Linked DNA regions of Xenopus tropicalis. The protein of the gene in region 3 binds, or shares a complex with, the protein of the main gene of each other region. Links are inferred from orthologs where the notes say so. Each region holds a gene or a part of one and is shown on either strand. Other genes may lie near its edges. The genes, in order: naa20, ppia and snca.

Evidence for each region.
Region 1: the proteins of snca (region 3) and naa20 are in contact, whole or in part, in a cryo-EM structure (PDB 7STX), measured with the Homo sapiens proteins. The link is inferred for Xenopus tropicalis from reciprocal best matches to the Homo sapiens genes SNCA and NAA20. Residues at the interface, in NP_000336.1 of Homo sapiens: Met1, Asp2, Val3, Phe4; in NP_057184.1 of Homo sapiens: Leu23, Thr24, Glu25, Tyr27, His73, Val74, Thr75, Ala76, Leu77, Ser78, Leu110, Phe111, Tyr137, Tyr138, Ser139, Ala140.
Region 2: the proteins of snca (region 3) and ppia are in contact, whole or in part, in a crystal structure (PDB 6I42), measured with the Homo sapiens proteins. The link is inferred for Xenopus tropicalis from reciprocal best matches to the Homo sapiens genes SNCA and PPIA. Residues at the interface, in NP_000336.1 of Homo sapiens: His50, Gly51, Val52, Ala53, Thr54, Val55, Ala56, Glu57, Lys58; in NP_066953.1 of Homo sapiens: Arg55, Ile57, Phe60, Met61, Gln63, Gly72, Thr73, Lys82, Ala101, Asn102, Ala103, Gln111, Phe113, Glu120, Trp121, Leu122, His126, Arg148.

The regions. Positions count from the first base shown.
Region 1 is NC_030681.2:36,941,194-36,944,947, reverse strand, and holds the start of naa20 (N-alpha-acetyltransferase 20), read left to right. Parts: upstream 1-1,125; 5' UTR 1,126-1,160; coding exon 1,161-1,213; intron 1,214-2,032; coding exon 2,033-2,057; intron 2,058-2,624; coding exon 2,625-2,715; intron 2,716-3,392; coding exon 3,393-3,528; intron 3,529-3,754. UniProt on the Homo sapiens protein: Catalytic subunit of the NatB complex which catalyzes acetylation of the N-terminal methionine residues of peptides beginning with Met-Asp, Met-Glu, Met-Asn and Met-Gln. Proteins with cell cycle functions are overrepresented in the pool of NatB substrates.
Region 2 is NC_030679.2:126,271,009-126,274,762, forward strand, and holds the start of ppia (peptidylprolyl isomerase A (cyclophilin A)), read right to left. Parts: upstream 2,648-3,754; 5' UTR 2,565-2,647; coding exon 2,496-2,564; intron 1-2,495. UniProt on the Homo sapiens protein: Catalyzes the cis-trans isomerization of proline imidic peptide bonds in oligopeptides.
Region 3 is NC_030677.2:78,431,551-78,435,304, reverse strand, and holds the start of snca (alpha-synuclein), read right to left. Parts: upstream 2,435-3,754; 5' UTR 2,151-2,434; intron 1,749-2,150; exon of another isoform or gene 1,643-1,748; intron 1,603-1,642; exon of another isoform or gene 1,518-1,602; intron 1,185-1,517; 5' UTR 1,160-1,184; coding exon 1,039-1,159; intron 1-1,038. UniProt on the Homo sapiens protein: Neuronal protein that plays several roles in synaptic activity such as regulation of synaptic vesicle trafficking and subsequent neurotransmitter release.

The DNA.
Region 1 (3,754 bases), on a different chromosome or scaffold from region 3:
GCCTGTGTGTGCCATACTTTGCCTGCCCTACCTTGCCTGTGTGTGCCATACTCTGACTGCCCTATGCTGCCTGTGTGTGCCATACTCTGCCTGCCCTATGCTGTCTGTGAGTGTCATACTCTGCCTGCCTGGCCTATGCTTCCTGTGTGTGCCATACTCTGCCTGCCCTATGCTGCCTGTGTGTGCCATACTCTGCCTGCTCTATGCTGCCTGTGTGTGCCATACTTTGCCTGCCCTACCTTGCCTGTGTGTGCCATACTCTGCCTGCCCTATGCTGCCTGTGTGTGTCATATTCTCATACTGACATACAGGGGGTTTAAAGCCTGAATCTGAGGTGAGAACCATGCAGGGAGGGCAGTTAATCTCAGTACTGATACGATTTAAATCTTACACAAAGGTAAGACATCAAAGCAGCCAGACAGGTGGGGGGCCACACAGAGGCCACCAGTTGGACAGCACTGGCCTAAGGTATGGTTGCCACCTGGCAAGTAAAAATGATGCTTGATCCCAATGTTATTAATAGAGAAGAAAAATAAAAATATAGGCCGGTATTTTTTCTTCCAGAAAAGGTGGCAACCCCAGTTTAAGGTAATTACAAATTTACCAGACCCATCCTTGGCTGGTATTTTACTGGCTAGGTAAACGAAACAGGGGCCAGAAGCAGACTTGGCTTTACCGGAAGGTTTCAGAGGGACCCCAAACAATTGGGCAGGTTGGCATATCTTTAACTGAGCATGTACATGTATTGTCTGAAACAATAAAACCACAATATCATAGACTGACAACCCGCTATCACAAAGCCTGTATTATGTTTATAATCACTTACAAATCTTCATTCTGTAACCAACATCCCTGTAACTCATGAGTATACACACTGGGAAGGTTGTACTTAGGTTGTATCTTTAAAGCAACAATCTCATTTTACAATAAACCAAACTGAAAGACATTTATTATAGTGTATTCGTACGGTGACCTAGTTTGTGGTTACACTGAAACTCCAAGCTTGGTTTACAGCACGATCATATGAGCGTTTCCCTGGGAGCACTTACGTTACACTCAGCCGAGCTTCCGCCAGTAAGTTGACGTCACTGTCAGTACGGTGGCTGCAGAGGTTTGACTTCCGGCGTGGTTCTTTGGGTGTTCTAAAACTTCACGAGAAAATGACATCGCTTAGACCGTTCACATGCGATGACTTGTTTCGATTTAACAACATGTAAGATATGAGGAGACAGCTTCGTCCGGCAGATTGTGATGTGGGCTGCTGGGAATTGTTATATGTCTGGGGGAATGTGGCTGCTGAGGGGAAGGAGCTGCCTGTGCGGGGACATGGCGCTGCTACACAGAATGGGCGCCTACTTAGCTGCCCTAATGTTATAAAGTACTCTAGGGGAACCCATTAACCTTGCAGCTGCTTGTGTAATATACTGTGTTTGTTTATGTTGCATGTACCAAGGGTGTGTTTGCAGAGTAAACATGTAGGTAGCCACCATAGACTGTTGTATGGCCAATCTGAAAGGGACTGCTTGGCTTTGCAGCAGGAAAAATTGATTTAAGGAGCTGACTGATACAACAATATTGGCAAAGTGTATGTTTGCTCATGTCAATAGCAACCAATAAGGTTTGCCTTTAAAGGGTAGACCAGTAAATGGTACCTGCTATTTGGTTGGTATAGGGAATTGCCCTGTAACAGACTCTAATTACATAACCACTAAAAACAAAAAACCTAGGTTGGGCCATGTGGGGTGGCATTTGTATTCAGATAAGCCCTTTTAGTTCTCTTGAACATTAGGATAAGAATCCCAGTACAGTGCCTACTATACACCTTTGGAATGGGAACTTTCATAGTCTGACCTATATATAATATTTCTCTCCCTTGCACATCATTTATGATATAAATATATATTCCAAGAAAAAGAGGTTTACATACACCCTGGAACTATCAGCCTTCTAGCTTTTATGGTATGGATAATATTGCATATAATAATCACTAGGGAGGATGAGGATTACTAATTGCTTGTTTTTCCTTTTGCAGCAACCTGGATCCATTAACTGAGACTGTATCCTTTTTGTTCAACTCAACCTGCTGAGCATTCATCCCATAGTAAAAAAAAAAAAAGGGCTACAGTATGACAGAAAAATGTCTTACATTTTAGCCAAATGTCACTTTGTGCCACCTGCATGGACATATTCAGTGCTTTTCTCAGTACACTTAAGGGCTGCTTTAGTGCATGGGGTAAAGGACACAAATGCCTAAACAATGCCTTTCCAGCCGCATAAATTGAAATTGCCATATAAAAGAAACCTTACATACAGCAAACTGGTGTAATTATGTGAAAATGTGGAAGACAGCATTTTCAAGTAATTATGCCTTTTATTTCTGCACCAAGTTTGTCTGTGCACTGATAATCCAATTATCTACATCACAAGGACCAAACATGGAGTAGCTTCAATTTTCTTGTTTAATTTAAGTATCTGATTAGAGTCATCCAAATGTTCTTTTGGTGTTTTGTCAAGACAGCACACTAGCACGGATTAATCTTTGGTTTTGGTTTGATTTATATCATAGTAATAACATAAATGCTTGGGACATACCCTCACTTTTTCCCTTAACTGCAGGACTCCAGTATGGCATTCCTTTTTACCTGCAGTATTTGGCACACTGGCCTGAATATTTTATTGTTGCAGAGGCACCAGGTGGAGAACTCATGGGTTACAGTAAGTACTATTATAAGGCATTGGTCATGGTAATGCACAGGTTGTAATCTAAAGCTCTTTATATTTAGCAACCACGGCTGCCGGGCCACAGACTGGGAATTCCAGGTCATGCCAAAGGGTCTGTAATAACTATAAATAGTAGTGTTTATAAATAAAATTGTATCTCTAATTGGCATATCCATTACACCAATACATCATTGATGCACCTTCCCAAGTAAAACAGCCTTTGTTTGATTTGGAGTTGGCGTTTATCCAACACACAAACATTTTAATTATAAAAGTATGTGTTTATTGCAGCAGTTGTGCATCTTGCATGTTAAAAAGAATGAAAACTGCAGCAAGCACCCTTATATACCCTATATAAGATATAGTTCAGTATTAAATTTCCAGGTCAATTAACATGGGTTTAATATGGTATGCTTGCAAAGTCCTAAAGAGCACCTAATGCTCAAAACATGTTTCCGCCACCTTAGGCACGTACTAACAGAGCCTGCACGCCATATGAAGGAAGCAATAGTCTCTAGAGAAATGCACATTTATTTCTGGAAGTTCAGGCAGCGTTCATGCTCCTATTGTACATAACCCAACTTAATGAGCCCATGTATTACCTTGACTTAAATGCAGGAATTGCTGAAATAATAAGTCCTAACGTGTACCCTGAATAACCTTGTTTGCAGTAATGGGAAAAGCCGAGGGTTCAGTAGCACGAGAGGAATGGCATGGACACGTCACTGCACTGTCTGTCGCACCAGAATTCCGACGTCTCGGGTTAGCAGCTAAACTAATGGAGTTACTAGAAGAAATTTCTGAAAGGTGACAAATGTGGATTTCTTGTTTATTTTTAAATGGACACACAAATATAAAATATATGTTGTCTTTAAACTGATAATGACAGTTTTACAGGAATTGTGCCCTTTTGTGTCCTGGGAGGCGTAAAATCCTAACCTGCCCAAGCCTAACATGATTGTTGTATGACTGGCATTTAAAGGAGAAATAAAGTAAAAGTCACTTGGGGGTGCCAAAATGTTAGGCACCCCCA
Region 2 (3,754 bases), on a different chromosome or scaffold from region 3:
ACCAGTGGCTCGGGAGCAACATGTTACCCACCAACCCTTTGGCTTTTGCTCCCAGTGGCCTCAAACAGGTGCTTATATTTGAATTCCTGGCTTGGAGGCAAATTTTGGTTGCAAACAGACCAGCCTGTAGGCTGCCAAATAGCCAATCACAGCCATAATTTGGTACCCCAGGTACATTTTTAATGCTTGTGTTGCTCCCCAACTTTCACATTTTAACCGTCTCACAGGTATAAAAGACTGGGGAGCCCTGGATTAAGGACACGCAGATTAGAAGGCTGGCCCTGGCATGACCTGACTGGGGAGTAGACACCACAGGGAAGTGCCGAATACAAAGATGCCTGGTTGCAGCACAGAACACATCTCCCACTTCCTGGCTATTTATGAAGTGTTGATCCCTTGCAGATGCCTTGAGACTTTATGAAGACAAACAATAAACTGCTGCCAAGAGTCCAAGCCTGACACCACTAGACGGATGGTTTGTAACTATATTGCACTGCTCGTCAGCATACAAACCTTAACCTGGCCATACATGCACAGTACTGACCGAGCCCCTTCTTGTATGGTCACTCACAGCACCCATCCGTATTACTGACCAGCACATGGCCATTTCTGGGGGATTGGGGGGGCGGCATTACCCAGGGCACATAACTACCTTCTGTTGTCCGATACCCCACTGTAGCTTTTATGCCCTTAATAATGCAGCATGGCATATGCAAGAGCATTAATATTTAACCATGAGAGGGGACAGGCATGCCAGGCAGTTCATTGTGCAAGATGTAATAAAGTTAAAGTGAACCTTATTACATCAGCAGGAGTCGTGCCCTTGCTTAGGCAGGAGACCAACGCATTTGGTGCAGTGTTGCTAGCCCTGCATACCAGTGTTAGAGGGGGAACCATGGCACAAAGATGGCAGGAAGGCAATGCCTATGCTTGATTATGGCAGACCACCACCACGTGAAGCAAAAAAAGGCTCATGCAGGGGAAGGATTAACATGACTGCAGAACTGAAAATGCCTTATATGGCTTCAGTTACGTCGCTATAAGTCTATAAATAGCAGATTTAACCCCTGTATGAAGCGCAGTAAGTGCATGCAGATTGGACACCCTGGGACAGAGAAACCCATGCAGCCACAGTTCTGTACATAGTAATATAAAGCATTTACCATCCCCTATATAGCCATCAGTATGCACTATATCTACCATATAACATACACACCATGTGGATTTGCTGGCTCAGGCACTGCAGTAAGAAAGGGAGAGGGGCCTGCATGCCACCAAGGGGACAGTAACCCTGACAGCACCTCACGTACTTGCCCCTCAGCTCCAATCCCTTTAGACACAAACCATGCAGAGCGACTACATCAGCTTTCCCCTGGCACCAATACACAATGGCATTACCCATGCACCCAACATGCACTGCTGGGGCCCCTAAAGCACTCCCTGCATTAGCCTGAGGGAACAATAAGCCCTCACTGACAGGCTTTGTGCATAAAGCCTTTAGGCCAGGCAGCAGGTGTATTTCCCACAGAGCGGTGTCTCCTCGCTAGGGCACGGCGTGATTAAAGCCCTTTGAATTCTACACTAAATATACCCGCCATGCCCACACCCCAGCAAGTGGGGCATCCCACAGGGCACACCTACCCCGCACTAACACAGGGCTGAGCAGCTCAGCAACCAAGCAGACATTTTGAGAACAAGAAATCTTCACATTACTTGATTTCTTCTAAAATGGATTCCTCCTCCCCCTCCATAGAAGTGACACACGGGAGGCGGGCTCTCCCAGCCAGCGAATAAAGGGCCTAGTATAGTAAGACCTAGCAACAGACATTCACTTGTACCATATTTACAGTAAATGATATATAGCCACCCTCAGCAGCCCCCAGCTCTTGCACCAACATGTGGCAGAACTACCCTCCCTGTACTTGCCTCCGCTAGGAATGCTGGGAGCTGTAGTCCGACCATTTTGCCCAATACGCTGCCCAGCGGATGTATCACAGCCATAACTATCAAACAGCGAATGAACTCGCTGCACAGCAGGACATGATACATTAGTGATACAGTTACATTGTCATTTTCTTTATATTAACGACTAGAAGGCGTCAAGTTACCCCCCCAACCAAGAGCCTAGTGTATCACGTGACACCGAGGAAACATGTATGCGGTAAGAATAACGCTGCAATACAGCCAGCAGATTCACCCGGGGCTGGGGGAGACGGCCAGACCCGCAGCGCAGTGACGCCCCCGCACCATGCAGCAAACAATGGAACCCCCCCCGGCCCATTCCATCGTGTTACAGTCATGTGACCGGCTCACCCCATCGCTCCAGCTAGCCCCAAGCACCCATGGGAGCCGCACTCACACACACAGGAACATGGCACACGCAAAGAAAGTGCAACCGGACTCTATCAAACCAGCAGTTTCTGACATTCTCACAAATGGCGCCAAGACTTAATGCCACCCCCCTCCCCCGACAGTAAAGAGTCTACTCTCATTACCTCCATGATAATACGGCCCATCGGGCAGCCATCAACGGCGATGTCGAAAAAGACCCTGGGTAAAGCCATAGTGCAGAATGAAAATAAACAGTGCCTTGCCGTGAGCGCAACGTGCAGCTTCCTAACCCCCTGAACTCTAAACAGCCCAAGAGAACCACGGAAAAGAGCTTAAAAACGGAAGCGGGGCTGATATTATATGAGAAGCTTGGCCCCGCCTGGCATCGTTTAAGGGAAACACACCAATAGAATGGTTCCATGGTACTGATTGACAGCGCGGCGGGCCAATAGTAGGCTGCAGGAGAGCTCATAAGGTGTGGCACAGAAGCGCGGGAGTCCTGGGCGCGGCCTGTAGAGGTGCGGTGAGGGCCGGTCCGGCTGTGACGCGGGGAGTGGCTGCCTTCGCTTTGGGCTATAACTCAGGGTTAACACTATTCAGCGGATAGGGTAATCCGGCATGCATTTGTGGCTTTATACGACATTGCTGGAAAGCGTTCTTCATAACGTATAGCTGATGAATGGCTAATAGTAAGTGTAATAGCTAGTTCTGGCAAGCCCTTCAACATACTTCTTTCTGTAGGTGCACTAAAAAAATTTGCAGCGTTGCAGTAAAGTGAGAGTGGACTGCAGCGAACCAAACCCGGTGTAATAGGGATTTTGAGTGTTTTTGTCGCCTGAGCGTTTTGTAACTCAGCTGTTACCTTCTGGAGCACTGAAACATTATTTTGCCCAGTCCTGCTCTTAAGGGCAAATGCCCATACCTGGTGCACTCTTACCTTCCAGTTTGTGCCTGTATGTTACCCAACCACTCAGATTGTAAGCTCTACGGGGCAGGGACCTCCTTCCTACTGTGTCTCATACCACATGGCACTTATATATATATAGATATAGATATATATATTTATTGTATTTATTTATTATATCACTTGTCCTCCCTGTGTGTAATTTTGTATTCTGTAAGACTGTACAGCGCTGCGTACCCTTGTGGCACTTTATAAATAAAGTTATACATACAATGGCGATACAGCATTATAAATTGCTTTCCATTAATTCGAGAGGCATTTGCCTGCTCAGTGCTGAGGTGATTACTGCTCCAAAGCGTCTCTTAGTTATAATTGCTTGAGCTTAATAAGAGGTAAACAAGGACAATGCTTAACTGCTTTGACGCCCATCTATAGAGCTACAAAATAGGGGACAAAACGTGCAGATGTGACCCATGTGGCGACCGTAAAATAAAGTGATAGGTGTGTTTATAAATGTAG
Region 3 (3,754 bases):
CTAGCCATGTCTTCTGAGCTCAGATTAAACATTAGAGTGCTCAAACCAACCAAAAATGTTTATCAAAGTAAGTTTTGCCTGTGTAAGCCTGCAGTCTCAGTTGCATGAATTTTACAGCATAAAGTTGCTGTTTGCAAATACATCACTAATAATGGCGGGTGGGTGAAAGCTACTATCTGTTTTAGGAAAATAATATGGTGCTGGTGAACTTTGGGGATATATGCAGTACAAATGATGCTGTCTGAGTGAGGGAGATGTACCCAAATTATATACATAATAGGAACATGTAGGGTTTACACAAGAGAACTAAGGACATTTAGTTTTGTGTTATTATTAAAATGTAGTGTACTGGACCACAACTCAGGTCTTTTGTAGGTTTCAGGGGGCAGTGTGTCCCATAATCTTCCCTAGTTGACCTTTCTGGTCTGGTTCCTATGCCTCTTTCCTTTGCCTGAGCACTTGGAGAACTATATTGATGTGTTCACCCTTCTATTTTACAGATCTGTAGAATATATTGAACTATGTTCTTTCTATCCCTCTCCCTAATTTTTTAATTGTCATTATAAAGAGTAGCATTTAAATTTAGTCATTATTTATTTGTATTGTGTAAATTAGATTTGCAATATACCTTCAAAAGAAACAACACTTTGTAAAATCATAATGTAAAGAATATGTGTAACAGGCTACAATGTGATTAGAACTGGGCAATCTATTATCAAGCCTACAGTTTCTGTAGTGGTCTGTCTTGTGGCTTACAAAACTGTACAGTGGGCTATTGCTTCTAAAACAGACATGTATGGGATTTACCACCAAGGAGATCCTCTGTGATCTCCAGGGGTTACAGATCCATTCTGCCATGGACAACTACTGCTACAAACTTCTACACAATAAACAAATGTTAAAGGGTATTTGCATTTGTATTCCAAGGACACGGAAGACAAATGATAGATCCTATTGTGTTTTTTGCAGGGTGATGAAAAATGGAGATAAGGATTGTAATTGAACAGATGACATTATATTGATTAGTTTTTTACCTACCTACGTAGAGAACACCCTCTTTTGTCTTTCCTGCTGCTTCTGCCACTCCCTGTTTGGTTTTTTCTGCAGCTGCCACAACACCCTCTTTAGCTTTAGAAAGCCCTTTCATGAATACATCCATAGCTAATAAATTTATTCTAGTGGCTCTGCAAAAGACAAATGCATACAAACACATTAGGACAGGTCATTTGATTATAGTGTAACTCATTACATTTGAACAGCATCTACAAAATAAAATATCTGTAACTGATTAGTATAGGATTTAAAAAACAATCTCTCGGTGCAACCCTTGTCTATCCTTAATCAGTCCAATCAGCAAGATATGCTATATATATGTATTATATTGCCAAAAATGGATTTCTGAAACATGAAACGCCATTTGTCTAATACTTCTTTACTACATTACAACATGCAACAGAGTATTTCAACAGGACGAGTCGGTCTATGATGGTAGTATTTTACAAAGGTCTGTAACTTACCAAAATATTGTAAATAATAATGCAATAGCTGTTGTCAGGATGAAAAAGCTTTACAATAATTATTTTTAATCCAACAAAAACTTTATTCTTAAGGAAAAAAGATAATCCCTGTTGTTAAAATGTACCTAATTATTTAAGATGTTTGATAGGTGATGAAGATCAAAGTGTATGTATGTCTGTGATTGTGAGAGTCTCTCTTTATACAGATATGTATGAGTGTGTGTGCAAGAATGAATATTTGAGTGTGTTTGTATGCAAGAGTGGTGCTGTGTATGTGTGAGAGAGTTTGTGTGGGGGTGGTTGAGGGAGAGTCAGAGAAAGGGAATGGGAGAGAAACAGACACAATATACCGTACTTCACACAGGCAAAAAGATTAAAGATAAAATTGAGCATTTAACCCACAGAAACCTTCATACTTCCTATTCTCCTTATATAAGACAAACAACCATGTGCATCATTCTCCGTTGCATTAAGGACACAGGTGACAAGCTATCCCGTGAGCAACTGTCAGCTGCTTAAACTAGGTCTGGGTGAAAATGCCAGATAGAACATTTAAAAAAGCTCATAGTGAGCAGAATAAATACACTTAATATCCTACATGGCATGTTATATAGATGTAAATGCAATACTTACATTAACCTTTGCTCCCCAAAATTAGTCCAACAGGAATGATATCTGTGCGTGTATAAACAATAAAAAAGGAATCAAGTCTCTTCTTCAGTACATAACTGCCAAATAAATCCCCTGAGAGGTATGTGCATATGTAACAACCTGATGGAATCAAAGCATTCAAAGCAGGTACCAGAGAAACCACACCTATCAGCTCTTCATAAACAGAAGGAATTTTAGAAGGGGTAAAAAATAAGAGATTAATACTTTTACTCAGTAGGAGCAACCTATGTCCTCCGTATTTTTCTTCCCTTCCCCTACACCCTCCACACCTCCCTCCTCCCGTCTTTCCTTTCCACATGCCTGATTTGTCAGTGTGAAAATTGAATAATCGTAGCCAGCCTCCCCAAGCTGGACCACTTGTAATCCGACTGCTGCTCGAGCAAACAATGAGAACCATTATCAACAGAAATATTTGAGATTAAGAGGTCTGCCTTGCATCGGAAAATTATTGTTCCCGTCACCTTCATTTGTAATGTAGGTGCTGGAAAGCAACAATCAAATCTGCCCACAAAACACCACCAACAAAAAAGAGTAATATCGTCTACTACAGACATGCAAATGATCTGCTACCTTACCCTAGCAGCTGCTGTATGCCTGCTGTGCTGAATTATTTATTGCTAAATATCTGCACTTGCCACAATAAATATTTCTTACAACAAGCTTGCAGTCACTAAGGTGATAGCAGATATGTAACAGGCAAGCATTTAAGCGCTCTCTCCAATTACTAATGACAGTAAGAAGAGAAGAATAACACTAAACAGCTAAAATATTACAAAGCCTTACCAAAACTGAATTCTAGTATTTACTATATTATGTAGATGGTTCCTTTCAACCCAGGGAATTGGTCAGTGGAAGGACAATGTAATTATGCCCTAAATACTCCAATTCATAACTGTAACTAAAGAATGTGGAACCTTTAGATAATTACATTTTGCAGACCCATTCTGGTTACTGGTAATGATAACATCTTATTATCAACCTTATCCACAATAATTCATTCTGACCATTATCCATGCACTGCTATGAAATGCTATAAGATCAGCAACCAGTTTCATTCCTAAAAAACAGGAGTACTATTATTATCATCCCTTATTTACATATTATATATATATATATATATATATATATATATATAGTAGTAAGAAACCAGGAAAACAAATAAATCCCTTGGGAAACTACAACCAAATGGTACCCAGTAGAGAATCAATCTATTTTTCCAACACAGCAAGGCTTCCAAGCTAATTTAAGTGCTCATTTTCTAATCCCCAGGTTACATGTGCAAGAGTGCGACACTTAATGCCTTTTTGCACTTTACACAATGTATTGTGTGTGTGGTACAGTACATAACCCCTTTGTTATTCAAGAAAGCTACAACGACAGAGGAATAATTCACAGAATTGTTCTGAAGATTCTTCTGTTGGAGGAGAGGTGTCTTTTAAAACAATATGCAAAAAGTACAACTAGCACAAGCCCTACTAATTGAACTCATGTTAAACAAGGGGGTATGTTGCTCCTGTACTTCAAAAAAGACATGGCATCTGTCACACAAAAAGCCCATTTCATTT